Cricetulus griseus: one gene and its partners. The protein of the gene in region 2 interacts with the protein of the main gene of each other region in a biochemical or structural test. Links are inferred from orthologs where the notes say so. Each region holds a gene or a part of one and is shown on either strand. Other genes may lie near its edges. The genes, in order: Pias1, Sumo1, Rnf4, Pias3, Rnf111, Rad51 and Usp25.

Evidence for each region.
Region 1: the proteins of Sumo1 (region 2) and Pias1 form a complex in vitro, tested with the Homo sapiens proteins (6 studies listed by BioGRID and IntAct, with this or other methods). The link is inferred for Cricetulus griseus from reciprocal best matches to the Homo sapiens genes SUMO1 and PIAS1.
Region 3: the proteins of Sumo1 (region 2) and Rnf4 form a complex in vitro, tested with the Homo sapiens proteins (5 studies listed by BioGRID, with this or other methods). The link is inferred for Cricetulus griseus from reciprocal best matches to the Homo sapiens genes SUMO1 and RNF4.
Region 4: the proteins of Sumo1 (region 2) and Pias3 form a complex in vitro, tested with the Homo sapiens proteins (2 studies listed by BioGRID and IntAct, with this or other methods). The link is inferred for Cricetulus griseus from reciprocal best matches to the Homo sapiens genes SUMO1 and PIAS3.
Region 5: the proteins of Sumo1 (region 2) and Rnf111 form a complex in vitro, tested with the Homo sapiens proteins (3 studies listed by BioGRID). The link is inferred for Cricetulus griseus from reciprocal best matches to the Homo sapiens genes SUMO1 and RNF111.
Region 6: the proteins of Sumo1 (region 2) and Rad51 form a complex in vitro, tested with the Homo sapiens proteins (2 studies listed by BioGRID and IntAct). The link is inferred for Cricetulus griseus from reciprocal best matches to the Homo sapiens genes SUMO1 and RAD51.
Region 7: the proteins of Sumo1 (region 2) and Usp25 form a complex in vitro, tested with the Homo sapiens proteins (2 studies listed by BioGRID). The link is inferred for Cricetulus griseus from reciprocal best matches to the Homo sapiens genes SUMO1 and USP25.

Annotation. Positions count from the first base shown.
Region 1 is NC_048597.1:174,372,171-174,375,868, forward strand, and holds part of Pias1 (E3 SUMO-protein ligase PIAS1), read right to left. Parts: intron 655-3,698; coding exon 512-654; intron 1-511. UniProt on the Homo sapiens protein: Functions as an E3-type small ubiquitin-like modifier (SUMO) ligase, stabilizing the interaction between UBE2I and the substrate, and as a SUMO-tethering factor. Catalyzes sumoylation of various proteins, such as CEBPB, MRE11, MTA1, PTK2 and PML.
Region 2 is NC_048595.1:413,930,731-413,935,006, forward strand, and holds the start of Sumo1 (small ubiquitin-related modifier 1), read right to left. Parts: upstream 2,965-4,276; 5' UTR 2,820-2,964; coding exon 2,808-2,819; intron 1-2,807. UniProt on the Homo sapiens protein: Ubiquitin-like protein that can be covalently attached to proteins as a monomer or a lysine-linked polymer.
Region 3 is NW_023276807.1:103,330,524-103,334,221, forward strand, and holds part of Rnf4 (E3 ubiquitin-protein ligase RNF4), read left to right. Parts: intron 1-3,211; coding exon 3,212-3,338; intron 3,339-3,698. UniProt on the Homo sapiens protein: E3 ubiquitin-protein ligase which binds polysumoylated chains covalently attached to proteins and mediates 'Lys-6'-, 'Lys-11'-, 'Lys-48'- and 'Lys-63'-linked polyubiquitination of those substrates and their subsequent targeting to the proteasome for degradation.
Region 4 is NW_023276806.1:59,801,189-59,805,518, reverse strand, and holds the start of Pias3 (E3 SUMO-protein ligase PIAS3), read left to right. Parts: upstream 1-1,429; 5' UTR 1,430-1,555; coding exon 1,556-1,579; intron 1,580-3,383; coding exon 3,384-3,801; intron 3,802-3,965; coding exon 3,966-4,050; intron 4,051-4,226; coding exon 4,227-4,277; intron 4,278-4,330. UniProt on the Homo sapiens protein: Functions as an E3-type small ubiquitin-like modifier (SUMO) ligase, stabilizing the interaction between UBE2I and the substrate, and as a SUMO-tethering factor.
Region 5 is NC_048597.1:182,047,411-182,051,713, reverse strand, and holds the start of Rnf111 (E3 ubiquitin-protein ligase Arkadia), read left to right. Parts: upstream 1-1,371; 5' UTR 1,372-1,582; intron 1,583-1,739; exon of another isoform or gene 1,740-1,995; intron 1,996-4,303. UniProt on the Homo sapiens protein: E3 ubiquitin-protein ligase. Required for mesoderm patterning during embryonic development. Acts as an enhancer of the transcriptional responses of the SMAD2/SMAD3 effectors, which are activated downstream of BMP.
Region 6 is NC_048599.1:59,371,603-59,375,300, forward strand, and holds part of Rad51 (DNA repair protein RAD51 homolog 1), read right to left. Parts: intron 2,222-3,698; coding exon 2,084-2,221; intron 1-2,083.
Region 7 is NC_048597.1:18,205,786-18,209,483, forward strand, and holds part of Usp25 (ubiquitin carboxyl-terminal hydrolase 25), read right to left. Parts: intron 1,674-3,698; coding exon 1,546-1,673; intron 1,282-1,545; coding exon 1,186-1,281; intron 1-1,185. UniProt on the Homo sapiens protein: Deubiquitinating enzyme that hydrolyzes ubiquitin moieties conjugated to substrates and thus, functions in various biological processes including inflammation and immune response.

The DNA of each region.
Region 1 (3,698 bases), on a different chromosome or scaffold from region 2:
ATAGTGGAAGGAGAGAACGAATTCCTGCAGGCTGTCCTCTGATCTCCACATGTGTGCCATGGCACACAGCACATCCACGATATGGTGCAAGCCTAAAATCCTAGCTCATGGAAGGCAGAGGCAGGAGAATGACAGTAAGTTTGAGGCCATGTCTCATAATACAACTAACTCAGTTACACAAAGTATCTGTTACATGAAGCCTCAGTCAAAGAATAAAAACCAGCATTCACCTCCACCAAACTGAAGGCCACATGCAGGAAGTGTTCTAATAGCCTGTAGAATACTGGGAAGTTCACAAGACCTCAAAGACGACTGCCTCAGGATTCCGACAGCAGTGGGTGCTGGCTGCTGACAAAGGTGCCACCAAGAGACTGGCCATTTTTCCTGGGATTCAAAGCCCTGTTCTCCCCATCTCCACTTCTTTCCTATATCCCTCATCCTCAGACTGCAGGCACACAGAGCGAAGGCATTCCTCAGTCTGTGTGACAGCAGCAAAGGACCAGAGACTCACCTTGTAAGTCATAAGGCATAGGTGTCATATGGAAAGGGTGCCTGTAGTCCTGGATGAGGGAAGTGTTGATGTAGCTTGTATCTACAGCAGGAAGGCTGGGGGTGCGGGACACAGGCGATGCTTGATGAGGAAGACTTAAAATACTGTGGAAAGAAATGTTTAGAAGATGTAACAGTCACTCTAACAGTTTAACAAATGAAACTGTATCCCACAATGAGTCCTACTTTTTATGATAGATAAAAAAATAACAAAACCAACCAAACAAAAAGCAAAACAAATGGTAAGAAATAACTTGGCATGCAGGAGCATTTGCAGAGATTGGAAGGAGAAACAGACAGAATCAATGGAATCACTACTCACAGTCCCCACAGTCCTTAGATCGCCATCCTCCACTCTAAGGATGCAGGAGCAATGCATAGCTGAATCACTATAATAGGACATGAGTGAAAGGTACCCACAACAACGGAGATGGTGGCTCTCTCAAAGTAGGTACTGAAGGGGTAGGTAGTGAGAAATCTAGGGATACCCTTTGTGCTGGATAGTTTTATGTCAACCTGACACAAACTAAAGTCATCTGAGAGGAGGAAACCTCAATTTAGAAAATGCCTCCATAAGACTGAGCTGTAAGTAAGCCTGTAGGGCATTTTCTTAATTATTAAGTATTGATAAGAAAGCAAACTAAGCAAATCATGAGGAGCAAACCACTAAGCAGCACCCTCCATGGCCTCTGCATCAGCTCCTGCCTCCAGGTTCCTTCCCTGTTTGAGTTCTGTCCTGACTTCCTTCAATGATGAACAGTGTTATATAGAAGTATAAACCAAACAAATCCTTTCCTTCCGAACTTGTTTTTGTCATGGTGTTTCATCATAGCAACAGAAACCCTAACCAAGACACCATGGTAAGGAAAATACGAATAGAGACAACTAGGGGAATGCAGCAACTTGAGCAATGAGGAGAAGGCAGATTTATGAACTTGGTGAGAGTGAACCCTGGGCAGTTATCTTTGGTTCACCCAATGTCTAGCTTGGCTATTGGTACAATTTAAATAATAGGGCCTTTGAAGCCAATCAAAGCAGCAAGACAAGGCAAAGTATCCCAAAATGACACTGCATCTGTCTTACATGGTATCTGGAGATCTAAACTCATGCTTGTACAATGAACCAAATCCCCAGCCCTAGCTTTTGCCTCTAATACTACTCCACATAAAGTACTTGCAGGTAGGTGTATATTTTAACAGTACAGATTACTTCAAAAGACACCAGAGTTAGATTTCCTGGAACAGAATCCTAATTATGAGATGCACTACACTTTTCTGAGTGGGACAATAAGCATTAAGACACACTCAGGTGCTGCACAGAAGTGTTCCATCCAAAGGAAATGTAACCCTCTTATACCTATAGAGAATGCCATGTTCCGCAGCAGTGTCTTTTGTTTATGATCAGAAGACTGAAACGGAAAAAGCAGTTGACTGCTGGTCTTTAACAACATCCCAGTCTAGCAAACTGCATGGAACTTCTGGGTGAATGGAAACACTTGGCAAGATGCTGAAGTGCTTATCTCGTGGCTATGAGATGACTGCCTAACCTTCAATTCTGTGACGGCTCAAGTTTACTTCCATATTACAATGTACAACAGTGAATGATCTGCAAGGCTTAGTGTTCTAGCTAGCGGCTAGTTGCTGTTATGAATACTCACAGTGCTACCTAATCATTCTTTAAAAGATGCTAGAGACATCCAGGTTTTATCTACATAGACAAAGAGAAAGGTCTGGCATTTGCAGAGCTGTATCTAGGCTCAATTCATCATGGGCAAAAATCAGGGAAATAGTTAATGCAAGTAACGAAATTTTCCAAACATAACAACCAGCTATTTTGGGAAGAACTATACAGTAAATATTCAAAGAAGAAATATTAGATTTCTAAAGACTCCAAAGTTTTCCTGATGAAAAAAATATAGTGAAATTACTACAGAGTTTACATTACTATTCTGAAGAGGAGAAAATTGCCATACAATTAACCCCAGAGTATTATGATACAAAAATATGACAATACAGTTTTATCCTGATATTTGTGGGGGGGGGGCTGGCTCTAAGAATCCCTGCAGTTAAATTTTGTTCCTCATGTGTCATAGGATTTATGAATCATCTAAGCATATTCTCTGGGTCTCTAGGTTCCTCAAAAACACTTACTACATTGAAATTGTATGGCAATTTTTTTTTTTTTTATAGGATGTCATCTAGTTTAGGGGACTGCTGGCCCCAAACTAACAGCAGTCCTACCGCCCCAGCTTTATGAGTGATGGTGTTATGAGCATGTGCTACAATCTCCAGCTCCCAGGTACAGCATGATGGGAGGCTCCTAGGAAACCAAGGCTACACGTCTTCAAAAATGGGGCTACTGTGAAGGAAAGCTCAAGTCACTGCAGATCTCTCCTGGTACACATGTCTATAGCCAGCTTCAATGATCAGGTGCACTCAGCTTTCCACTCTAAGTGCTCTACCTGAGTTAACTTTATAGTGAGTAGGTTGCAGTTTTTAGCTAGTTTTCTAAACCTTACAAGCAGGCCAAAATGAAGTCTAATACCTTTGCAGCTTCTGACCCAGGCAGCAACTGTGAAAGGCATTTCAATTACCTCTCAGATTCAGAACAAGGTTAGTCTTGACCTCTTTCCCAACAGCTGAGATGGGCATGCAGTGTTCTATCCACATACCCCAGAAAGGGCGAGGATGTCTGGGTTGTGCGAGGACAGCATGAAGGTAAGCAGAATGGCAAGCAGTTCGAGTTTACAAGAAGAAATGTATTGTCTACATTGAACAAATCTAGTGGGGAGACTAGTGGCTCAACTGTCTGTCATGTGGCACTCATTCTAGCAAGGTGGCTATCACCAGGCTAAAATTGGATAAAGACTTCAAAAAATTCCAGAAGGAAAGCCACACCACAAAGGAGGAGGAGAGGCCTCAGGGAAAGAACATTTTTGGGGGGTGGGAGGTGGGGAGGGTCTCATTCTATATAGCAGGCTGATCTGGAACTCAGAGATCCACCTGTCTCTGCCCTCCCAAGTACTGGGATTAAAGGTGTACACCACCACACCTGGTCCAAGAGTAATTCTATTTACAATATTAACCAAAAATTGGTTCAATGAGGGCTAGTGAGATTGCTCAGCAAGTAGAGACACTTGCTATTAAGTC
Region 2 (4,276 bases):
ATTTATTCTGGGAACTAATAGTAATGAGGTCAATCAGCCTAGACCAATAAATTGTTCCTAAATCTAGTAACACACTCTCAATTATTTACAATCCCATCAGCCTGGCAATGGTGGCACACACTTTTTGTCCCAGCACTTGGAAGGCAGAGGCAAAAGGATCTCTGAGTTTGAGGCCAGCCTGGTCTGCAGAGCAAGTTCCAGGACAATCAGGGCTACACATAGAAACTCTGTCTTAGAAAACAAAATAAATAACCCCTAAAATGTTAGCATACTTTTTCTTCAAGTCAAAATTTCTAAAAGTAGCACTATTTCACACTCTTGCATATTGCTTTACTGTGTAGCTCAATTAAAAAGACTTGTTTTGGGCCAGGTGGTGGTGGCACTTGGGAGGCAGAAGCAGGCAAAGTGAATTCCAGGACAGGCTCCAAAGCTACAAAGAAATCTTGTCTTGAAAACAAAACAAAACAAAACAAAAGTTTGTCAGGTATTGTGATGCACATCTTTCACTCCAGCACTCAGAGGACAGAAGCAAGCAGACCTCTGTGAGTTCCAGGCCAGCCTGAACTACAGAATGAGTTCCAGGGCAGCCAAGGTTACATAGTAAGACCCTATCTCAAAAACAAAAGAAAATCCCAGCACTTGGGAGGCAGAGGCCAGCCTGGTCTACAGAGCAGAGTTCCAGAACAACCTCCAAAGCAATACAGAGAAACCCTGGGGGGGGGGGGGGGGAACAACACGGGACAAAAAAAAAAATAAACAAATCACACATGGACTAGCCAGGTATGGCATAACTCTAATCCTCCCTACTCTGCAACGATAAGTGAGGGAGGAGTATTTATTCCGAGTTCAAAGACACCTTGTGCTACAGAATGAAGTTCAAGAACAACCTAGGCAACATAGTGAGACTAAGTATAAGAGATTCGGATCTAGCTCAGTGGTATAGTGCTTGTCTGGCATGTACACATGTGAGCCCTAAGTTCAGTGCCCAGTAACAAGTACTACACCCTAGTGTGGCTTCACAGATCCCCTGAAAACAGCCTGTGTCCTAGGTTCTCTTTTCCTTTCTCCATAATCTTTTTTTTTTTTTAATAGTTTTTCAAGACAGGGTTTCTCTGTGTAGCTTTAGAGCCTTTCTCCATATTCTTAAATGATGTGAGTTCAAACTAGAGCAAAAATAATTTTAAAATTTCTAACTGTATGTTGCCCTTCATCAGGCTGACATGCCTTCTAGTTCCTTCTAAAATAAAAGACTGATGAAACTAAGCATTTACAGCTCATCTTTCCTCCCTTACTCGGAACTATCTGGAGAGATATTCATAAACGAATTTCTATCCAGATTAAACAGAATTAATCCAGATTATTTATAAACAAATCTACCCCACAATTAATCTACATTATGGATAGGCTACAAAAATAGAACCATATTATCCAGGTGGTGGGGAAGCATGCCTTTGATCCCAGCACTCAGGAAGCAAAGGCTGGGAATCTCTGAGTTTGAGGCCAGCCTGGTCTACAGAGCAGTTCCAGGTTAGCCAAGGCTACACAGAGAATCCTGTATCGAAAAACAATTAAATAAATAAATAAATAAATAAATAAGATTAAATTAAAAGAAAACAGTTCAACTACACTGTGGTGCTGAATGAAAAGTTTACTGAATAATTATCATTATAGACAAACGTCAAAAAAAATTTGAAAATTCAGTCCTCTAAGCAAACAAAAGGAAAAACAGATAAAAATCCTATGTATTAAAACTAGCCACAAACGTGGTAAACAAAAATGGGATGAAGGAAATTAAGGTGGCAGTATTCCTAATTTGAATGCCAATACCATGCAAATTCTTAACATTAATACGGAGACACAGCATTTTACTATTAATTGGCAGCTTTCTGTAAACATTCTGCAGCTGTAAATATTCAGTTTTTCTATTTTCCTCAAAAATATCACCTGGAAGAGGGTGATATGGAGGTGCATATAACCAAGATACGTCGTTTACGTGTATAAAATTGACTATGTTAAAAAAAAGTGCCATTTTTGAAAATGTAACAATCATAAGCAGGCTAATGCCCAGATGAAATAAATGGCTTGTTGGTGGTGGTACTCTAACCTAGTTTCGTTTGTTTCTCGGTTATTCTGAACTCTCCTACAACTAGAGAGTTGATGGACCAATCCCGAGTAAGAAATGGAAAGTACAGAAAAAGAGCCGACCGATCCGCACCCCCCAGATGGAAAAAAAAAAAAAAAAAAAAGACGCAGAAGGGAGCAGAGGCGGACAGGCCCTCCCGGCAAACACAACGGAAAGCAGCGTCTTCTGGGTCCCAGGAACCTCAGGCCAGGCTTCCTCTCCGCCCCCCACTCCGAGACCAAGAACCCAAAGTGGAGTGGAGCAGCTTTTCGGGGCTACCTACCCTCCCAGTCAGGGATTCCCTCCCGTTACATAACTAGGCCTGGGGCCCTGTTTCTGCCATCGGTCCTCTGAAGGGAAACGGTCGATTTCTCTTAGGTTGCTCTCGGGGACAGAGGAGCGGGCCTGGGCCCCCGGCGGACCCGCGAGAAACCTGGGAGCCGTCGAGAGAGCCGCGGCGCGGGGCAGCGGGAGGGGGGCGCGGGGAAGGCGGCGGAGGGCGGGTGTTCCCCGGAGCCCCGCGGTCCCGGGCGGCTGGGCCCGACTCGGCCGGGCGCTCCGCGTCCCTCGCGGCCCCCTCCCCAGCAGCAGCCCCCTCCCCCAGCTGCGTCCCCTCCCCCGCGCCGCGGTCCCCGGGCCCAGCCAGCGGCCGACAGCTCTGAGCCCCGATGCCCTGGCCCAGTACCTGGTCAGACATGGTGATGGTGGCTTCGCCCGGGGGTCTCCGCACCACAGCGGCCTCCGGCAGGCAGAACCTCACTCTGAGGTTTACAAATCTGTCTCTTCCCCACAGCACAACACCGCGGCTGCAGGGACTTCCGCTACGTATTGCGTCACTTCCGCTGCGCGCAAAGGAGACTTTGGGAAGACGGGAAAAGGAGGCGGGAAAACGCCTTGGGGAAAGGCCTTGGGGCGTCTGACCTGTAAAATTGCTTGCCCGGAGCAAGAGAACGACTGTGTGTTCTGCCGCTGGGAGACCCGGCCGGCTGCCTCAGCCCCCTAGGGAGACCAGGGCATCGCCACCAGGCTGAATGTTTGGGGTCAAACCGACATCCTAGACTCCTCCCTCTCGGACACCTTGCGCGCTTCTCCGAGCTAAACCAAGTTCTTTTGTCTGCTCCCAACCTTACTAACCGTCCCTAAATATAGGGAATCGCCGGTATAATATTTTTATTACCTTCTCTTGTTTGCTGCCAGCACACTCATGACCTTGATTTAGGACCACAACGAAAAGACGACCCCTTAGAACACATATTTTTTGTTTTTATTTTTGTTTTTTGAGCAACCCTGGCCGCTCTAGAACTATGTAGATCAGCCTGGCCTCGAACTCACATAGAGTCTCCTACCTCTGCCCCCAGCTCTAGGACAGTTTTAAGAGCTGTAGATGACTAAAATGTTGAAAGTTTTTAAGTTTGAAGTTATAGGCAGAAGGAGCTACCTCCAACCTATTAACTATTTGCCTTTCGTCACAGAAAGACCTAAAATTCTTTGACTACCACGACCTTCTTGCACAGGCATTAAGTGTGGATTACGGATATATAAGTAAAAAGAGTAAAATTGAAAAAATAATTGTTGTGTGTGTTTTTCCGATACAGAGTTTCTCTGTGTAGCTTTGGAGCCTGTCCTGGAACTCTGTAGACTATTCTAGACTCTGCTGCGTTAGAGGCATGTGCCACCACGCCCCCCAACCCCCGGCAAAAATGAAAATTCTAAATAAATCAATAACCTTTCACAGTATAAGACGTTAGTAAAAGAATCTTTTCGGACTGGAGAGATGGCTCAGAGGTTAAGAGCACTGACTGCTCTTCCAGAAGTCCTGAGTTCAATTCCCAGCAACCACATGGTGGCTCACCATCCCTTATGAGATCTGGTGCCCTCTTCTGGTGTGCAGATATACATGGAAGCAGAATGTTGTATACATAATAAATAAAATCTATTAAAAAAAAAAGAATCTTTTCTTAGGGGCTGGAGAGATGGCTCAGGGTTTAAGAGCACTGACTGTTCTTCCAGAGGTTCTGAGTTCAATTCCCAGCAACCACATGGTGGCTCATAACCATCTGTATTGTGATATGGTGCCCTCTTCTGGCATGCACTGTATACATGATAAATAAATAAATCTTTTAAAAAATCTAGGAAGTCTTTATTTAAAAAAAA
Region 3 (3,698 bases), on a different chromosome or scaffold from region 2:
TGTTACGATGTGTATGGGCTACAAACACAAAATAAAATATTTAAATAGAATTTTAAAGCTGTGTCTGGAGGGCTAGAGAGATGGCTCAGTGGTTAAGAGCACTCACTGGCTGCTCTTCTAGAGGCCCTGAATTCATTTTCATTTTTCAGTGCCCACATGGCAGCTGACAACTGTCTGTACCTCCAATTCCAGGGGATCTGACACCCTCATTCATAACAATGCACATAAAATAAAAATTAAAAACAAAACAAAAAGTCATGCTCCACAGGGACAAAGCTTAAAAAAAACAAAACCAAACTTGAGTCTAGGGCTGGGTGGGTGGTGGCACATGCCATTAATCCCAGCACTCAGGAGCAGCGGCTAGTGGATCTCTGAGTTCAAGGCCAGCCTGGTCTATTGAGTTCCAGGACAGCCAGGGCTAAGTAGAGAAACCCTGTCTCAAAAAACCCAAACAAACAAAAAACTGGATCTAGGGATATATGGCTCAGAGGCCAAGAGTATTTGCTGTTCTTCTAGGGGACCTGGATGCAGTTCCCAGCACTCACATGGCAACACAGAATTGCTTGTAACTCCCAATTCTAAAGATTTTGTGTCTCTTCTGGCCTTTACAGGCCTGGAAATGGTACACAGACATTCATGCATGCAGGTGAAATATTCGTGTATATAAAATGAAAAAAAAAATAAAGAATGACTATTTTCACTTTTACTCTGGGAATCAGCTTTGGTTCAGTGCAAGACAGATAAAGACTGGAGGTGCTTGGGCTCTAGAGTAAGGCATCCTGAACTTTTTCTACTTGTAATTTTTTTCTTTGGGGAAATTTTTATGACCTCAGGTAGTAATGTAGATGCACAAGCAGATCAAGTATTAATAAATCATGTTTAATTTTAAAAAATTATTACTATTTACTAAGATGAAAGTAAATTATATGTTAATGAGGTAGATACTCTTATATAAAGAATCAATCTTGGTCTGGCAAGACGGTTATCAGGTAAGGTGCTTACTGACAAGTCTTGACAACCTGAGCTTGGTCTCTAGACCCTAAATGGTAGAAGGAGAGAATTGATTGCCAAAAACTGTCGTCTAGTTTCATTTAAGCATAGTAGCACAAGTACATGCATGTACACAAATGTTTAAAGGAAAAAAGAGTGAATTAGCCATGCATGTTGGTATGCACTCGGGAGGCAGATCAATGAGTTCAAGGCCAGTCTGGTCTATAGAACCAGTTCCAGGATAGCCAGGGCTACATACACAGAGAAACCCTCTCTTAAAAAGCAAAAAAAGGTAAAATTTGACTGACCGTTTATATAGATCTTTGGTATTTTTTAGCTCTGCTTTCTGAGCACTGCATGCAATTTAAAGGCATGCCCAGCTAGTATTTTGATTTCATGATCAGCATTTCTAAGAATGCCACTTCAAATAAATGTGTAGTATTTATGGCCATTTCAGAAACATTGGAGCTTCTGTCCTAACCCCAAACCAAAATTGATTTGATTGACTTTTTTATGAAACTCATTAATTTACACAGATTTTGTTTTTTTGTTTTTGAAGTAAGGTCTTCTATGTATCCTTGACTATCATGTAACTCCAAAGATCAGCTGACTGTGCCTCTGGATTTCTAAAGGCATGTTTTAAAGTATCAAACACAGAGGTAGTAGTGCTCACCTTTAGTCCCAGTACTCAGGAGGCAGAGGCAAGAGGATCTTTGTGAGTTCCAGGCCAGCCTGATCTACAAAGCAAGTCCCAGGACAGCCAGGGCTGATACACAGAGAAAACCTATCTTGAGAAAAAGAAAAAAAGCAAAATATACTAGAGCAGTGTAATCTAAGAATGTACTGGGTGATAATTATATGCTGAAGAATAATGGTAAGAAAATGCTACAAATCTTGTTTGTAATTAAACCATTCTCTTTCTGTAAGAATAAAAAATATATGCAGTAGGTGTTGGCATTGTGTGACATGACATCATGTTCTCTGTAAGTTTGAGTTGTGTTCAGAACCAAAGCTGTAGTGAAGTCATAAGCTGCAACATGGACAGATAATATGAAAAATAATAGTTCTTGGTGCATTTGGTCTTGAATTAATATTTGGTCTTTGTAGGTTCAGAAAACATGTTGCTGTTGCAAATATTTTTTCACAGCCCATCTTCCCCCATTTAGTTATGTGACCATACATGGGATTGCAAACCATAGTTGAATATGTTTGTTTGCTTGCTTGTTTTGGTTTGGTTTTTTGGTTGGTTTCTTTTTTCTAATGACTTAAGTATTTTTATTTTATATACATTGGCGTTTTTCCTGCACGAATGTCTGTGTAAGGGTGTCCAATACTTTGGAACTAGAATTAGAGACAGTTGTGAACTGCCACATGGGTGCCAGGAATTGCTATCTTCTCAGCCCCTTGTTTGTTTTCTTGAGACAGGGTTTCTCTGTAGACCAGGCTGGCCTTGAATTCACAGAGATCTTCCTGCCTCTCAGAGTGCTGGGATGAAAGGCACATGCCACCACTGCTTGGAACTTGTTTTTATTACAATTGAATGATTGAGATAGGGTGTCACTATATAGCACTGTCTGGCTTGGAACTTACTATGTAGACCAGGGTGCTTTTGAACTCACATAGATCCTCTTGCCCAGTCTCCCAAAGTGTTGGTTGGTCTAGAGAAGGTTGCCTAAAGGTCTTTTGACCTTTCTTTACTCCTTACTGACAGAGCACCTTCTTCAAGGTTGCACATATGATTAAAATTCAGAAGTGTTTGGGAACAGTAAAAGTTTCTTACTGGGTATAAAAATAGCACTCTGAGCTGAACATGGTGACACAAACCTTTAATCCCAGCACTCTGGAGGCAGATACAGGCAGATCTCTTGAGTTCTGGAAGAGCTGGGGCTACACAGCAAGACCTTTTATCAGGCAGAAACAACAAAAAAGCACTGGATTTTCTTTTTCTTTCTGCTTCAGAGGTGCTACAAGTTTGTGGGTGTGGTGTGTTATGCATGCCGTGTGTGTGTGTGTGTGTGTGTGTGTGTGTGTGTGTGTGTGTGTGTGTGTGTGTGTGTGCGCACGCGCGCGCGTGTGTGTGTGAGAGAGAGAGAGAGAGAAAGAGGGGGGGAGATATGAGGGGGTATTAACACCATTCCCCTGTTGACTTCTTAACTCTTCCTGAAACCCTGTCAAATCTGGAGCTCATGCAACTGCTTCTTTTCCCCCTTGATGACCTTAGAGAAATCCTCAAAGAAAACGTCGTGGTGGAACAGTAAGTTCTAGACAAACCCAGAAGCGTTCTCGGGAAACAACTTCAACCCCTGAGATTTCCTTGGAAGCAGAACCCATAGAACTCGTGGAAAGTGGTAAGAGCCAGAATCCTGAACTGTAATGTGTGACAGTGGAGACAGTGTAGTATAGCATGTGAATTAGACCCAGTTTGTGTCTATTAATGCCCATGTGGGGCCTCATGGAAAGTCGCCACCCCCCCCATTTCATATGTATTCCTGAATATATGTCTGTGCACTACATGTGTGTCTAGTGCACACAGAGGTCAGAAGTCATTATATTCCCTGGAACTGGAGTTAAAGATGGTTGTGAGCTGCCCTGTGCATACTGGGAACTGAACTTCAGTCTTTTACAAGAGTAGTAATATTGATAACCTCTAAACTATCTCTCTAGCCCCAGGTCACACCTTCTGAGCCTCTGTTTCTTCGTCTGTGGTG
Region 4 (4,330 bases), on a different chromosome or scaffold from region 2:
TAACAATCCCTCATTAGCAGTTTAATATTTACCTCCCCCCCTTGTCAAATACTTACTGAACAAATGACAATATTCCTTAGGCCCCAAACAACTATAAAATGTGGAGTTTTGTTTGTTTTACAATAACTAGTATATAAGGCACACTGCCCTAGAGTCGCTATCTTCATAAACATAGAAATGAATTACTCTAGTCTGCGAGTGCGTGGCCTACTGGGGAAGGGCAAAGCTTTGGAGGAGGGAGTAGGCATTTCAATGAGGGACAAAAATGTTTCCTTTGTTCGTGTTCCTCCCCTGTGTTCATTTTGAAGGACACCAAAACTGTGAGATACCTAGTTACTGTAAGCACATTTGAAGGTCGGGTGATAGAGGGCCATCTGTAGGGTTTGCATTGTTTATTTTTCCATTTGTAGCCTTAGGCTTTCCCCTAGGCAGATGGAGATTTCATCCTAGAACCTTTTTAAGCAACCAGGTTCCCGGTGCACACAGTCCTGCCTCCCTGCCCAACCCAGTCCTTACACTCCCGCAAGGGATCACAGGGTCACCGAGACTTTTGGAAAGCTTCTCTCCTAAGCGCTCCCAAGAGTTAACATCTCGCGCCGGGCTCCTGGGCTCCGCCCCTCTCCCCTCTCCGAGGTCCTGGCGGGTTTATCCCGGAGGGGGCGGCCGCAGCAGCAACGCTCGGCCGGGAGGAGCTCTGGTCCGGGCGGAGCTGCGGCTGCGGCGTCCCCCTGCCTGCCTGCCTGCCTGCCTGCCGGACGGGACCGGACCGCTCTCTCGCTGCACAGCCTGCGGGAGCAGCGCGGGCCCTTTCCGCGCCGGGGCGCACTCCCGCAACTCTGCAGGTAAGTCTGGCCTCCCGCACCCAACTTTGTGGCTGCTCGAGCCTGGCGTCGTGTGGCGCCAGCAGGAGCTACGCTCGGAGTGGCTGTGTGTCCGGGGGAGGAGGCGAAGGACCGGCCACAGCCATCTCACCCAACTCCCCCCTAAACCGGGCAGGAGCGCCGCACTCCCAGAGTTGGCAGAACTCTGGGGGTTTCGCGGGCTAAACTTTTAGCAGCTCGGGGTGGGGGGGTGGTGGAGGGGACGACGACGACGGGACACGGGCTCCAACTTCGCCGCCCCTCCCCCACGCGGTGGAGCCCCGGCAGGGCAGTTCCGGATGCTTTTCCCTCCGTCTTTCAAGTCTCCTCGGCTCCCCCCCCCCCGCAAAAAAAAAAAGCCCGTCCCTTCGGGCCCGCCCCCTCCTCGTTACCCGCAGGGCCTCGCGGTCCCTGGGCCGCGCTCTCCCCGCGGGGCCACCGCGCCGCCCGCCCGCCCGCCGGCCGCTCGCCGGCCGGCCGCGCCGCCGGAGACTTGCCTCGGGCGGCGGGGCTGCGGAAGAAGGGGCGAGGCCGGCGGCCGTCCGAAGCCCGGCGGGCGGGGCCGGGAAGGGGAGGTGTAGGGGGCCGGACGGGGCGGAGCAGGCGGCCTTTGCGGCCGGCGCTGGGGCGGAGAGTTTGCGCCGGTCCCTGGGCCTGAGCTCCGGCTCGGGCTGGGGCGCCTGCGATGTCTCAAGATGGCGGAGCTGGGCGAGTTAAAGGTACCTGCCCCCTCCCCCAGCCCCGTCAGGACTCGCCCGGCCGCGCGCCGAGGCGGGGAGGCGACCCGGCTGGGCGCCGCGGGCCGCGGTGGGCGCGGGCGACGTGTCAGGGACGACGGGCTGCAGGGATGCGCGGGCAGCGGCCGCGGGAAGAAGGGGCTGCGGCGGCAACCCCGGGGCGGGGCCCCGCAGGGCAGATGTAGGGGTGGGGTGGGGCGGAGGGGGAAAATTGTCGCTGCCGCCGGGGGGGGGGGGGAGACACCCGCGGCATAGGGGGCGGGGACGTGGGCCGTAGCCGCTTTTAGTAGGAGGTTTTGCAGGGTAGCGTCAGGCGAGAGACAGCCGCTCCAGAGGCGTAGGGGCGAGTCCCATCGGGGCAAGAGATGCGGCAGTAAAGGGGAGACGTAGGGATGGGAGCCGAAGGCCACCCAAATGTTGGCAGGCTCCCGGGGACGTGCGGCTGAGGATGGAGGCTCCCGGGCTGCTGCTGTTGGCATCTGAGCCTTGGGAAGTACCAGTTGGCAGCTGAGACGTAGGGGGCGGGGCTGTATGGGAGTGTACCTGAAGGGATGGGGCAGGAGCATCCTGATGGCTGAGGGGAGGGAACTGTCTTAACGAGGCTCTCTGTCTTGGGAGAGGTGGAGGAGTGTGAGCCATGGGATAGAAAATAAGTTACAAAGCCAGCGGAGAAATTAAAAAAAAATACAAATAGGAGGAGGTGAGAATGGAAAGGTAGAAGGACAAGGTTTTCATCACATCCCTGAAAAGGAGCCCAAGAGGAAAAGAACTTGGAGAGCTAATGACCTGCCCACGACTAGGTCTTGTAGGCATTTACAGAAGGGAGCCCTACAAGGAGGACATCCCTCGGAACCTTGGACCTTCCTTCCCCCATCTTCTGGCTTTGCTCCGTCCTTGTCCTAGACAGGCTTGAGTTCTAGCCACCTTTTAAGAGCTTACTTTTGAGCCGGGCAGTGGTGGCACATGCACTAGGGAGGCAGAGGCAGGAGGATCTCTGTGACTTCGAGACCAGCCAGGGGTACACAGAGAAACTGTCTCAAAAACAAACAAAAGAAGAGCTTACTTCTGTGCGGTGGTCCATGGACATCAGTATCATTTTTCTGGGATCTCTGTTGAGAACTTTGCCCCTGGTTTCCACCCCTGTGGGTGTGTATACCATGTATGAGGGAGTAAATCAGGTCAATTACCTAGACATGTGGATTAACCCTTCTCCCCTACAAGTTTTGATAGCTTCCTTCTAGTAAAACAGGACTAAAAGAGTGTGGGTATGTATATAATATAAAAAGTGTGTGTGTGGTGGTGAGATGATGATGATGATGAAATGTTGAACTTTGACCTAAAACTCCTGACCATAGAAGCTTCAATTCAGAGATATGGGGAGAATAAATGGATTGAGGTGATTGGGAGGGGCGGGCTGTGGTATACAATCCTCTAGCCACCTGGCCTTTTTCTTCCTCATGGGGCTGCCTGCCCCGAATCCTTCTCTTCCTCCTCCTGTCCTATCCTTTTCCCAGGAGGCTAGGAACACCCTAAGAGTCTGAGCCCTGGAGAGACTATAATCAGCTTAAGGGAATGTCTGGATCAGGGGTGGGGATGGGGCTAAGTGGTCCCTGTGGTTTCAGCTAGTCAGGTCAGCTACTTGGAGGTAGTGCACTAGTTTTAGAAGTACCTTCCAACACCGAGGGTGGAGGGGAGAGGCACTGTCCCCCCAGGAGTTCTGCTTCTGTCATCAGCAGGACAGGCTTTTGTGACGTGGCATGGGATTATTTCTGTGCTCTTCTCCTAGCACATGGTGATGAGTTTCCGAGTGTCTGAGCTCCAGGTGCTCCTTGGCTTCGCTGGCCGGAACAAGAGTGGACGGAAACACGAGCTCCTGGCCAAGGCCCTGCATCTCCTCAAGTCCAGCTGTGCCCCCAGTGTCCAGATGAAGATCAAAGAACTTTACCGCAGGCGCTTTCCCAGGAAGGCCCTGGGGCCCTCTGACCTTTCCCTGCTCTCCTTACCCCCTGGCACCTCCCCTGTAGGCTCCCCTGGCCCTCCAGCTCCCATCCCTCCCTCCCTTCTAACCCCTGGGGCCCTGCTGGGCCCTAAGCGCGAGGTGGACATGCACCCACCTCTGCCCCAGCCAGTGCACCCTGATGTCACCATGAAACCGCTGCCCTTCTACGAAGTCTATGGGGAGCTCATCCGGCCCACCACCCTCGGTATGGCTGGGCTATGGTCCCTCAGAGTTCCTTTCTGGACTCTGGTTCAGGCTCGGGTTTTTTTTTCTTCTTAGATTTTAGTGTTGTAGAACCAGCAATCTGGGATGGGAGCAAGTAGCTTCCCAGGCATGGGCTTGGGAATGACTGTGTGTTTGTGTCCTCAGCATCCACCTCCAGCCAGAGGTTTGAGGAAGCGCACTTTACCTTTGCCCTCACTCCCCAGCAGGTGCAGCAGATTCTCACATCCAGGTACATCTCTCATCCCTGCCTTGTCTGTGGGGACTTTCCCCCCTGCCTTTGCCTCTGCCTTTCTTCTCTGTTCTACATCGTCTCTTGTTCTTCTGCCTGTCTTCTGTCTGCACCCTGGACATCTTTCTCTCTGCCTAGCCCCACCCTCTGAATTGACATTTCTCTTTCTATTGCAGAGAGGTTCTGCCAGGAGCCAAGTGTGATTATACCATACAAGTGCAGCTAAGGTGAGTTGCTTCTTAACAAGGATGGGTGCTACGTAGGGGTATGGCATACTCAT
Region 5 (4,303 bases), on a different chromosome or scaffold from region 2:
GATTTCAGAATCAATTCAGCTGAATATGGACAGTTCTGATTTTTACTCAGTATCATGTATGATTTGGGAATCATTTGTTGTGAAAAACACCACAGACCATCTTTGTATCCATGAACTTAGCCAAGCGAAGTAAAAATATACTTTAACATGCAATCCATAGTAAAAAGTATTGGACTTTTCACAGTTTTGAAATGTAGTTCTTAAAATTGATGTAGCCAATACAAAGTCAATAGCGCTTTATTTCAAGTGTTCAAGAGTCGTATGTGGCAAGTGTGTCTACCTTAATTAAGGAATACAAGTCAAATCTTTAAAGAGGAAAAAAAGGAGAGAGATGAAAACAGAGGTTTGAGACATCATGAGTCAACGGCCTCAATAGTCCAGGTGGCATCCTACTTTTAGAGAGAAGCCATTGGGGGACTGAGGAAATCCAGGTCCAATGCTCTTTCATTATTCCTCGCTTATAATTTAAAAACACCTTCTTCACTCAATATGGAGAACATGAGTGAATAAAATTATTGAAGAGCCTGTGTCTAAGGAGGGAATTAATGCCTACTGAACACTTAATTGGTAATATATGGAGGTTTATATAAATCGCCAAATTTGACCTTAAAGATGGTTTTAAAGCATATAAAGTTATCCTGGTTAATAAAGGAGGAAACTGAGATTTATAAAGGTGTTAATATATCAGCTTTCTGGCCAGAAGTCTGCCTGATTGACCGCAGAGGCCACGCTCTGTCCTTATGTGTTGCCTCCTAGGGCACGCAATGAAACATTGCAATCATCTTGTTTTGTGAGGTAATTAAGAAGTGTTCTCAGATTGTATAGCCAGAGCTTCCAGGCTATCTAATACCACCCTTGAACTGATTTTGGAAACAATTCACTTGAACAGCGAGATGTGATCTCTAGTTTGGGTGTCATTTGCTGGGAAAGACACCACGTTTTTGCTTTAAGAGCGCTGCAAGTGCAGCCGGTAAGATTTAGAAGAGAAAAAGTAACCAGGATGTAGGCAGAATCATGTTGAAGTATTGTTGACCCCGAAATCACCGAAGAAAATGAACCCTACGAGCTTCTTCTTAACGTAGCTCAACAGGGCCAACAAACAGTAAGAGAAAGCCAGTGCAAAAGGGGAAAGGCTAGGACGCAGGGGGGCGGGCCCGGGGGCCGAAGGGGGGCGAGCCCGGCAGGCGAAGGTCCGCGCACGCGCAGACATACGGACGTGAGAGGGCGTGAGTCCGGCGCGCTTGCTTTCCGAACTGTCGTAAAAGGGCCCCGGTGTCGCGCTCGCGCAGTCGGGGAGGGCCGAGCCAGGCTGCGGCGGCGGCGATGGTGGCGGGGCGCCGGGACTGCGCGGCGTAGAAACGCCGGCCGTTCAGGGTCGCGAGCGCGCGTGGGCCACGATCGGGCGTTCCGAGCCGGGTCGGGCCGAGCCGGGCTCAGCCGCACGCTTGGCCGCGGCGTTGACAGACGCCCTCCCGAGGAGAGCCACCCGGGCCGCCTCAGCCTCGCCTCGCCTGGCCGAGCGCTGTTTGCCGGCCCGCGCCAGCGAGCCCCGGACCTGGCCGCACGGGGGCTGCGGACTCGGGTGAGGACGCCGGAGGAAAGGGGGGTGCGGGGGAGGGGAGCGGCGCCGCGGCGCTTGCGCGCTGCGGGGGAGGGGCCGAGCTGTGGGGAGAAAGAGGAAGGGCCGCGGCTGGCGGCCGGGGTCAGCGGCAGGGGGATGTCCGCGGGTCCCGGGCGGCGCGGAGCGGCTCATTGTGTCCGGGCGAGAGTCCGCCCGCGGACACACCCACAGCCTCCTAAGCGGGAGGGGGTGAGGGGATCGCACCCTGTCGCCGCTGCCCGCCGGCAGGACGGGGGCTGAAGGCCCAGGCGTGGGGGTGACAATGGAGTAAAGAAGGTAACCCGGGCCGAAGCCGGGAGCCGCCCGGTGCGGGCGAGCACGCGCAGTCCGTGGAGCAGAAGACAGACGCGTCTGATATTGTGTGGAGCTGGCTGGTTAGTCATTAAAAAAAGATGTTTTCTTTATCCTGCCTAGATAATTGATCGGAGTCAGCAGCGGTGCGGTGAAAGCATCGGGTTTTGTACTGAGAACTAGAGGTTTGTCACCACATCTCCTAGATTATAGGGCTTTATAGATAATGTCTTAAAGCAAGAGTGACTTTTTAGCGTCTAAAAAAAAACAAAACCAACCAGGAAGTTATAGCGCCTTCTTTTAATTTGCTCATGTCTGTAGTGTGGGGTGACTCCATTGTGTTGTTGAGAGCTTTCCTATTCCTTGATTTATGTACAGAGTGAGTTTAGAACTCCTGAGTAGCGGCGAGCCAGCTGACAGACTTCATTGTAAAAGTTCTGATAGCTCTTGAACCAAACTTTGTTCCATTTGGCATTTTATCTTTAATTTTCTTCTTTTTGGTACCTCTTTAACCGAAAGGAACAGACTGGGAAAAAGATGAGCTGAGGTTCCACCTCCTTGCCCGTTTGTGTTTATCACGTGAGTTTTGAGTTTACGTAGACATTCTTTCCATAGTTCTGATTTTACTTAGCTTCATTAGGATAGGGGTCTACATTTAAAAAATCCTTCATATGGGTGTATGTCAGTGTGTGGGTCTGCATGTGAGTGCAGGTGCCCGTGGAGACCAGAAGAGGATCTAATGTTCTAGAGCTGGAGTTTTAAGGGAGGCTTTGCACTGCCCTGTGTAGGCGCTGGGACCCCCAAGTTGGGGTCTTCTGCAAGAATAAACACTCTTGACTCCAAACGGTTTCTCCAGCTCCGGAACCATATTTTGATAGTTTGTTACTATGTGATCTTTGTTTTTGCTTTTTCTTTCAGTTAAAAACATTTATGTAGAAACTGGTAACTATGGTATTTTGTTACATTGTGACACAGGTTGAGGAAGCTTCTACTCTGAAGAGAAACAAATTATTTAGCTTTAACTACTACTTTTGTAGCGGGAGTGCTGGGCGTGATGGCTCAAACTTTTAATCCCAGCTCATGAGAGTCAGGGGCCGGGGGATCTTTGTGAGTTCAAGTCTAGCCTGGTCTACATAGTGAGTTCTAGGATAGCCCTAACTATGTAGAGAGACCCTGTCTTGAACACCTACCCCGAATGTATGTATAACTCTTTTGCTACTCTCTTAGGGTTTAACCATGAACAAAATATTTTGTTGTATTCCGCTGGCATGTCACCTAAGATTCTCTGTAGTATTTGAAAAAATTAGTGAGGATATTTGTGAACTGGCCCTAATGACATTGAAGAATATTAGTAAGAATAGTCTTTTCTTGCTAGTCAGGGCTGTGTCATATGTGTGTGGTTTCTTTTGTCATCTTTTCCCATTGGTCTCTGTCTGTTGGTCACTAGAACTGGTTGGCCTTCAGCTCCTAGACTCAGGGATCTTCCTGCTTCAGCCTCCTAGGGAGCTGGGGCTGCAGGTTTTTACCATTGTACTTGGGTCTAGAGTTTGTGTTTCATGAATGCTATAATAAGAATACTTTCTTTTAATGAAGAATGTATGTTAGCTGAGGTTACGTTCAGCAAGTTTCACTTTGGTGCTCCGTGTTTGTGAGAAATTGAGAAATGCTTCTATGCTTCTACTGATGTCCCAAGAGGACGGCAGTTTACTTGCATGAAGCAAAGGAACAGTAAGTTATTCAGCAGGCACATCTGTGTATTTTTTTGAAAATATGGACTAGAAAGCTCATTGCATCAAAATGTTTAGAGCTTTAAGTGTTTATTTTATATATGTCATGTTAAGGAAGGCCTTTGGTATCATGCTTTAGTTATGGCTTATTTGTATGCCCCCCTGCTTTGACCCTAACCTGGTGGGCTGGGACTTTAATATGACTGACAGAACAAAAAAATAGTAATTAAGGCTGGGTGGTGGTGGCTCACGCCTTTAATCCCAGCACTGGGGAGGCAGAGGCAGGCTGATCTCTGTGAGTTCGAGACCAACCTGGTCTACAAGAGCTAGTTCCAGAACAACCTCCAAAGCCACAGGGTTTCTTTTGTCATCTTTTAAAAACCAAAAACCATCTTTTGTCTTAAAAAACCAAAAAAAAAAAAAAAATGTATTGTTAACCTTTCCTGGCCTATATCCTTCCCAATTAGTAAAATTAGTGTAAGATTGATATATGTTGTTTATTTCTGGCCTCTGTTTTTGGGTGTATGTGTGTGCCACATTTAATAGCTTCTATTTTTAGTTCTTTTGGTATTCACTGTTGGATTCCATAGATCTCCAGAAAGAAATACTCTGTGGGAAGTGTAAATGCTGTCATGGTGCAAATGAAACACATACATATGCATTA
Region 6 (3,698 bases), on a different chromosome or scaffold from region 2:
TTGGCCATGCAGCATTTTATTAAACCAATAACAGTGGCACATCTTCACAGTGTACAAAAAATTTTTTCCGCAACATATACACTTGCAGGAAAAACACTCATACACATAAAATAAAACAGATAAAATTTAAAAATGAAAGAAGTCTAGAGCACAGCTCAATAGCAGAGTATGTACTTAAAGCCTACATGAAATCCTGGGTTCAATTCCCAGCCCAGAGACAAAAGTCAAATCAAAACAATATGCAGCTCATATTCTTATATTTTGGGTTGTGAGCCTAAGCTTTAACAGTTGAGCCATCTCGCCAGCCCATAGTTCATATTCTTACCATGGAGGAATAACAACATTAATATTTTAGTGCATCTATTCTAGTGCACATTCTATACATGCATACAAAATACACATATTTTAATGGGGCCCTACCCCCACTCCTGGATTTATATACTGTTAATGGCTAATGGGGGAAAGAAATGTTTTCTTTAGTGGTGTAGCTACTGTGAGCAAATGCTCACCATGGCACTGTATAATGAAACTCACTGCATCACGTCAACCCCCAAGGCCACGGAAGTAGTTGTTCAGGGGAAAGAAGGGGATCAAGAGTAGGAAGGAGACAATTGAGGATGATAGGGTATGATGAAAATATATGTGTGATGAAAATATATGCGTGATGAAAATGTAATAATATGCATTAATATAGGCTAAGGAAAGCATTAGAAGAGATATGAATGTATATTGTTAACGTGATTTTTTTGTTGTTGTGATTGGACCCAAGGCTTTCAGCACACCAAGCTATCACTCTGTCACTGAGCTACATTCCCAACTCTCACCTGCCTTCTTATATAAACATGTTATCAATATCATTACCTCTCTCTCTTTTTTTCTTTAGAAGTACTAATAATTAACCCAGGGCCTAGCACATGCCAGGCAAGTACTTTCCCCTGAGCTATATACCCAGTCTCTTTGTACTTTGAGGCAGGGTCTCACTAAATTAAGTTGTCCAAATTGGCCTTGATGAATTCACTATGTCAGAGACTGGCCTCCAACTTCCTGTCATAGACCCCACAGTAGTTTGAACTGCAGGCTTGCACCTAATGATGTGACGTCAATATTCTTCTAAATTGTTTTAGTGGCTACATACATAATAAACATATTCTGGGGTCTGGAAAAATGTCTCAATGGTTAAGAGCACTTGTGCTACCAGAAGACCAAGGTTTGATTCCCAGGACCCACATGTTTGCTCACAAACATCTGTAACTCCAGTTCCAGGGGATCTAACACACTCTTTTAGCCTCTGAAGGCATGTATGTGGGGCACAGACAAGCATGCAAGCAAAACACCCATACACATAAAACAAAATAATTTTAAAGAGGAAAAATCTTTATGAGGAGAGATCATATTCAAAATAGTAAGGTGCATACCAATCACTTCTACTGGGAATGTTAAACAGTATTTTTGGCAGCATTTGTATCAAATTCCACAATATTGCATTCCTACAGGAAATCTGAATTTAAGATAAAAACTCCCAACAGCCAGGCAGTGTTGGCATTGCCTTTAATCTCAGCACTTGGGAGACAGAGGCAAGAGGATCACTGTGAGTTTGAGGTCAGTCAGGGCTGTTACTCAGAGAAACCCTGTCTTGAAAAACAAAAATTGCCAACAGTCACTTCTAGAAAGATGACAAGAGAATGGAAGAGGCAAATGGTGGGATAACTAAGCCTCAATGTGTCTGACAGCTGGCCTAGACAGATAGTAAGAGCATGTGCAGTAGATATTTCCTGACAGCTGCCAGAGGGCCTGGACAACAGCAGCAGAGTCTAACCAGAGAAAATGTAGACCTATGGACAGTGACTACATCCTCAGCAGATGCCAGCTCAGTGGATCCACCCCCTGGGGCAGAGTGGGAGGCATATAAAGTGAGCTTTATTGTTCACTTTGTTGTTTCAACTTGTTCCTGTGTTGTTGGTGTCTACTTGCCCCACCACCAAGGACCCTGAAACAGCAAACAACCATTCACTATATACTGTTTTGCAGTAATTATTCTCACTAATGCATCTGTCCTCCCCCACCATCACATAGCTATACTTACCAGAATTTTGTCTGCTTTGGCTTCACTAATTCCCTTAATATTTATGAGTTCCTTCTTTGGTGCATAAGCAACAGCCTCCACCGTATGGAAACCAGCTTCTTCTAATTTCTTCACATCATTGGCACTTATGCCACATTGCTGTAAGAAAACAATGGGTAACTTAGGCCTCTTGTCTAAAACGGATATTACAACTTAGGTATTTGAAGACCACTAATACACAAAAAGCCTCTAAAAACTTGTCTACATATGAATTATTAAATAACAAGCTATACACTTTTTCATCATCAAAACTAAGTTTTAGGCTAGGGAGATAGTGTCTGCTATTACCCTGAGGAGGTTGAGACACTTGGGTCCCTAAGACTCACTAGTCAGGCAGCCTAGCCTAACCAGTAAACTCCAGGCCAAAAAGTGTGTATCTTAAATAAATAAATAAATAAATAAATAGATAGATAGATGGCTCCTGAGGAAAAAATACTGCGGTTGACCTCTGGCTCCCATGTACTATCCCAGGCACATGTGTTACAGGCTCACAACTGCCTATAACTCCAGTTCCAGGAGGATCTGATGCCCACTTCTGACCTCTGAGGGTACTAGGCACATAGATGATGCACACATTCATGAAAGCTAGACACATATACATAAAATAATAAAACTAATCTAAAAAAATAAAACAACACAAACAAAAGCAGCTATGCTGGTACATGCCTAACACTTGGGAAGTGCAATCAGGAGGATCAGGAATCAAGGTTATCCTGAGCTACATGGAGAATTCAAGGCCATGCTAGGTTGCATGAGACCCTGTCTCAAAACTAAAATAAATAGAGGCTGTGATAAACACCATGACCAAAAGCAACTTGGGATAAAGTGTTTATTTCAGCTTACAACGTATAATCTGTCCTGAGGGAAGACAGGACAGGAATCAAAGTGGACTAAATATTTTCTCTGAACTTGTCAAATGCAAATGGACTATACATTGTTGATGAACCTATTGCCTATATATTGTACTTTCTATAAATAGTTTTTCTTATGTCAGTTGTAGCCTTCTTTTTGTATTAGACAAAAAAAGGGGAACTGTAAAGATATATTATTAATGATTTATTTTTTAAAGATTTTGTATTTATTTCCATCTCTCCAGCCCTCTATTTATGATTTATTAAAGCTTGCCTGAGGATTCAGAAAGCAAAGTCAGGCATAGAAGCCAGTCCTTAAGAGAAACAGTTCATGCCTTTGATCCCAGCACCTGGGATCACACAACTTTAATCCGAGAATTGGCGAAGTATGTAAGACAGGAGCAAGGTCAGTATCAGGCATTCATTCTCCAGCCACGTTGAGAACAGGAATACCCCAGCCCTCTGGAAGCTTGGCTGCTTTGCTTCCCTGATCTTCAGCTTAAACCCCAATATCTGTCTCTGGGTCCTTTATTAATTCATGTTACATCAAAATACAGACCTTGGAATGCTTACTGGCTTGTTCCTAGTGGCTTCCTCAGTATGCTTTTGTATACAACCCAGGACCATCTGCCCAGGGGTGACACCACCCAATGTTCTTCCACACTAATCATTAAGAAAATGCCCCACAGGAGCAGGGTGTTGGTGGTGCACACCTTTAATCCCAG
Region 7 (3,698 bases), on a different chromosome or scaffold from region 2:
TTGGTTTTCTAAGTCTTATAAAATAAGGCAGAAATGAAACTCGCTTACTTTCTAAGGGAGAAGATGAAACAGAATACACATTAAGGAAATGCACTAAATGATCTTGAAGGGAAGGACAGCAAAGCTGATCAAGATGGAAAGCCGTGAGTACGGATATACCTAAGGTGCTGTTCTAAACTGCAGATCAGTGAGAAGATGCTCTTCTAAACTGTGGATCAGCAGGAAGACACAGTGATGAATCGTCTGCAAACGCTCCCTTCTCTACTCTAGCCTTGCCTTCAAGGTAGTGACTTTAACATCATTTACCTTGTGAGCACTTTTCATACATGTATGGGAATCTTTTATGAATAAAAGTCACTGGAAATATGATAATTTGAACTCAACTTTTGTTTTGTTTTGTTTTGTTTTGTTTTTGTTTTTTCGAGACAGGGTTTCTCTGTGTAGCTTTGGAGCCTATTCTGGCACTCACTCTGGAGACCAGGCTGGCCTCGAACTCACAGAGATCTGCCTGCCTCTGCCTCCCGAGTGCTGGGATTAAAGGTGTGCACCACCAACGCCCAGCCAAACTCAACATTTTATGTTATGAATATGAAGACTAAAATCAAAGCAGAGGGTAAAGTTGGAGGTAAGCAACCTGAATTACTCAAACCGCATTTCAGCCTGTAGACTTACCTGGCTGCATGACACCCACATTCTACATTTTATGCTGTTTCCTAAGGAATCAAGCAGTACTGTGGATGTAAAAACATCTGCACATACAGCCCTCCCTTGGGTACTTGATAGCACTGGCTCCAGTCACACTCCTATAATCTTCCCTCCCTGCCCATCTTATTCCCGAGTGACACTGCTGCATGAATCTTGGGAGGCCAGGGACACTAGTGTTATCTTATTTGCCATTCCCTTCAGCACAAAGTAAATCTCATGCTCTGTGTTGGAGTCCTTTAGCTCCATGTACAGCATCAGGGTAACAAGCTGTTGATAATCACATATTTAATTTCAATTTCTAAAATAATCATCTAAAGCCTATTAAAGGTGCAACCTAGTTTCTGAAATTATTGATCAAAATTTAAATCCAGAATGATTATCTATGACTACTATTATAAGCTCCCCAAAGCATATTTAACATTAAAAATCTAGTCACAAAACACATGCTTTCCCATCACAATGTCATAGCAGTTAAAATACCTTTCTAATCTTTGTTGTAATACTGTGAGGTAATCTTTAAGTCTTTTGATCTCTTCACGTTTAATTCTTGTTATTTCTCTGTTTCTGTGCATATACCTATATCAAGGAAAAAACGAGCAATCATTAGTATTCCCAAGTATCTTGGAAATAGATATGGTGTGCAGCCTAATTATCACAACAAAAGATCAACTGAAATTTTATAAGGTATCACATGTAAAACAAGAACTATTTTAACATTCCAAAATACAGTTATATAAAAGAAAATTAACATTCCCTTGACAATTAGTGAGATAACGTATATCAGTTAAGCTGAGACTCACTGAACTGTTGCAAAATTATACCATTCTAAATAAACCATACCTGTCCAGATACAAAACTTGGGGGAATTCTAATTTGTTGTGAATTTTTTCTGGTCTTCCCAATGCCTGGTTAAATTCAAATCTTGACAGTTCAAATGTTAATACAGGTGGCAGCTCAGTAAACCAATGCTGAAAGACAACAACAACAGACACTCAGAATCTCCCTCTCTGTTTTGCCCCATGGCACTTTTATGGATAGGGTGCAATGATGGTGCTGATGTCACCATCTGACACCACTGAGGAGGGAATACAATGGTTTCCTAACAGCTAAACTTCCTTTTGAAAAATTCCACAGCATTTGCAAATCCCAACAGTGGGTCTGACAATAAGAGGACAGAGGGAAGCCTTATCTCCACAAGGCTCTTCTTCCACAATTGTTCACATTAGAAATTCCAGCCAGAAGAAAAGGAGACACCTGTTGCCATTAAGACTCAAGAGCTCTGCCTTCTTCAGTCTTATGTTGAGTGATACTGAACTCAACCAGCTTGTCAAATCCCATGACTTGACTGAAAGGGAAGAAAATACTTGTCTGGTACAAATACTCACTGTTCTCGGGAAAACATTATCTTCCTATATTATTCTTTTGTCTTCTTATTTTTACCTTGAATTTTACAACTACACATTATACTAATTCAGGAAATAGATTTGTCATCAGTGAATAAAATTATGCTTATAAGAAACATATTCAGAGTATTCAAATACAAACTAGTGTTTACAGTGTTAAATTTCTTGCTGTTATGACCCAGTTGTCATCCACACATGCGCACATGAGTCAACAAAACTTCAAAAAACTTCTTTTCGTGAAAACTTCAAGATTTACAAAAGCCTACCATTTGTTTAAAAAGATGAATGTTTATATTCACAAACCAATATAGAGATGTAAAAAAAAATAGAACAAATGCTTTTTAAGTGTTTATTTTTATAAGCCCTACAACAAGATTCTGTTGAAGGAAATGCAGCACCTACTTCACAGTGTGTCAATGCTCCCAGTGTCAGGAGAATGCCACCACACCCCCTCAGTAAGTGTGGATGAGCTTAGACCTGAACCCAAACACAGGAATAAACATCTCAGGCTTAGCAAAAAGAAGTGAACTTGAATCTAGAGCTGCTACTTTTCTCCAAGTAAAGCTACTAGAAGTCATATACTTATTTGTTGCTATTTCTCCCTCCCCAAGCACTACTGATCACTGGCTCTGCTACACTTACCTGAACTGAATATGAGTAAGGTTTTGCCCAGGTCAGATATAAGGAACATGTTTTATAAGAATCACCAAAGACCTAGTATAATAAGTATGCTATGCTAGGTTTAAAAGAGAAAAGTCCCTGGAGATTGAGTTATGGGAGGTAGTGTGCTCCGAGCTTGGAACTGAACTCAGGACCTCTGGATAAGTGGCACAAGCTCGTAACTTTTGAGCCATCTGTCCAGCCCATTCCATTTAGTTCTTTCTCATTTCTAAGGTTAGATAAAAATTAAAACATTGTCTCTGATCTCTTATAGACAAATTCCTGATTCCATAGGATAATATTCCAAACTTCATTTGTGATATTCAAACAGGCCAGCATACTTTTAGAATTGTTACTTCAAAATTTACCTCAGTCCTTTAAATATCTTTCCAACTAACTTACTACACATTTTAACTGATGAGAACCCACAGTGGCTGGGAGAAGTGAAGTGACCAAAACTGTGGAAAGCAGTCTTCTACACATTTCTGTAGTACATGAGAGGATGCTCAGAGAATATTATGTAGCATGTCTGTATTGGGAACGCATTTTCTCCAATAGCAACACAGGTTTTTTCCTACTATAAAGTGAAAAAACTTCATTATCTTTGTCTACAGTTCATGAGCTCAAGATAAAAACCAGGCATTTCCTAAATTCACTTTAAGGAATCATTAATTACATACCTAGCCCTGAACTATTAATGTTTCAAGCATAGTAACATATAAATAGAAATTTATGTAGCACAATATTTTATTTCTAAACAAACAAGACCCAAATTCTTATTAATACCAATGGACATTATCATATAATCTCCATTGGGGTTGGAAAGGGTCTCATAGGCCAGGCTGTCTTGAAATCCTATATAGACCCCAGGCTAGCCTTGAACTCATGATCTTCCTGCCTCAGCCTTTCTGGTGCTGGTATTAAAAGCAT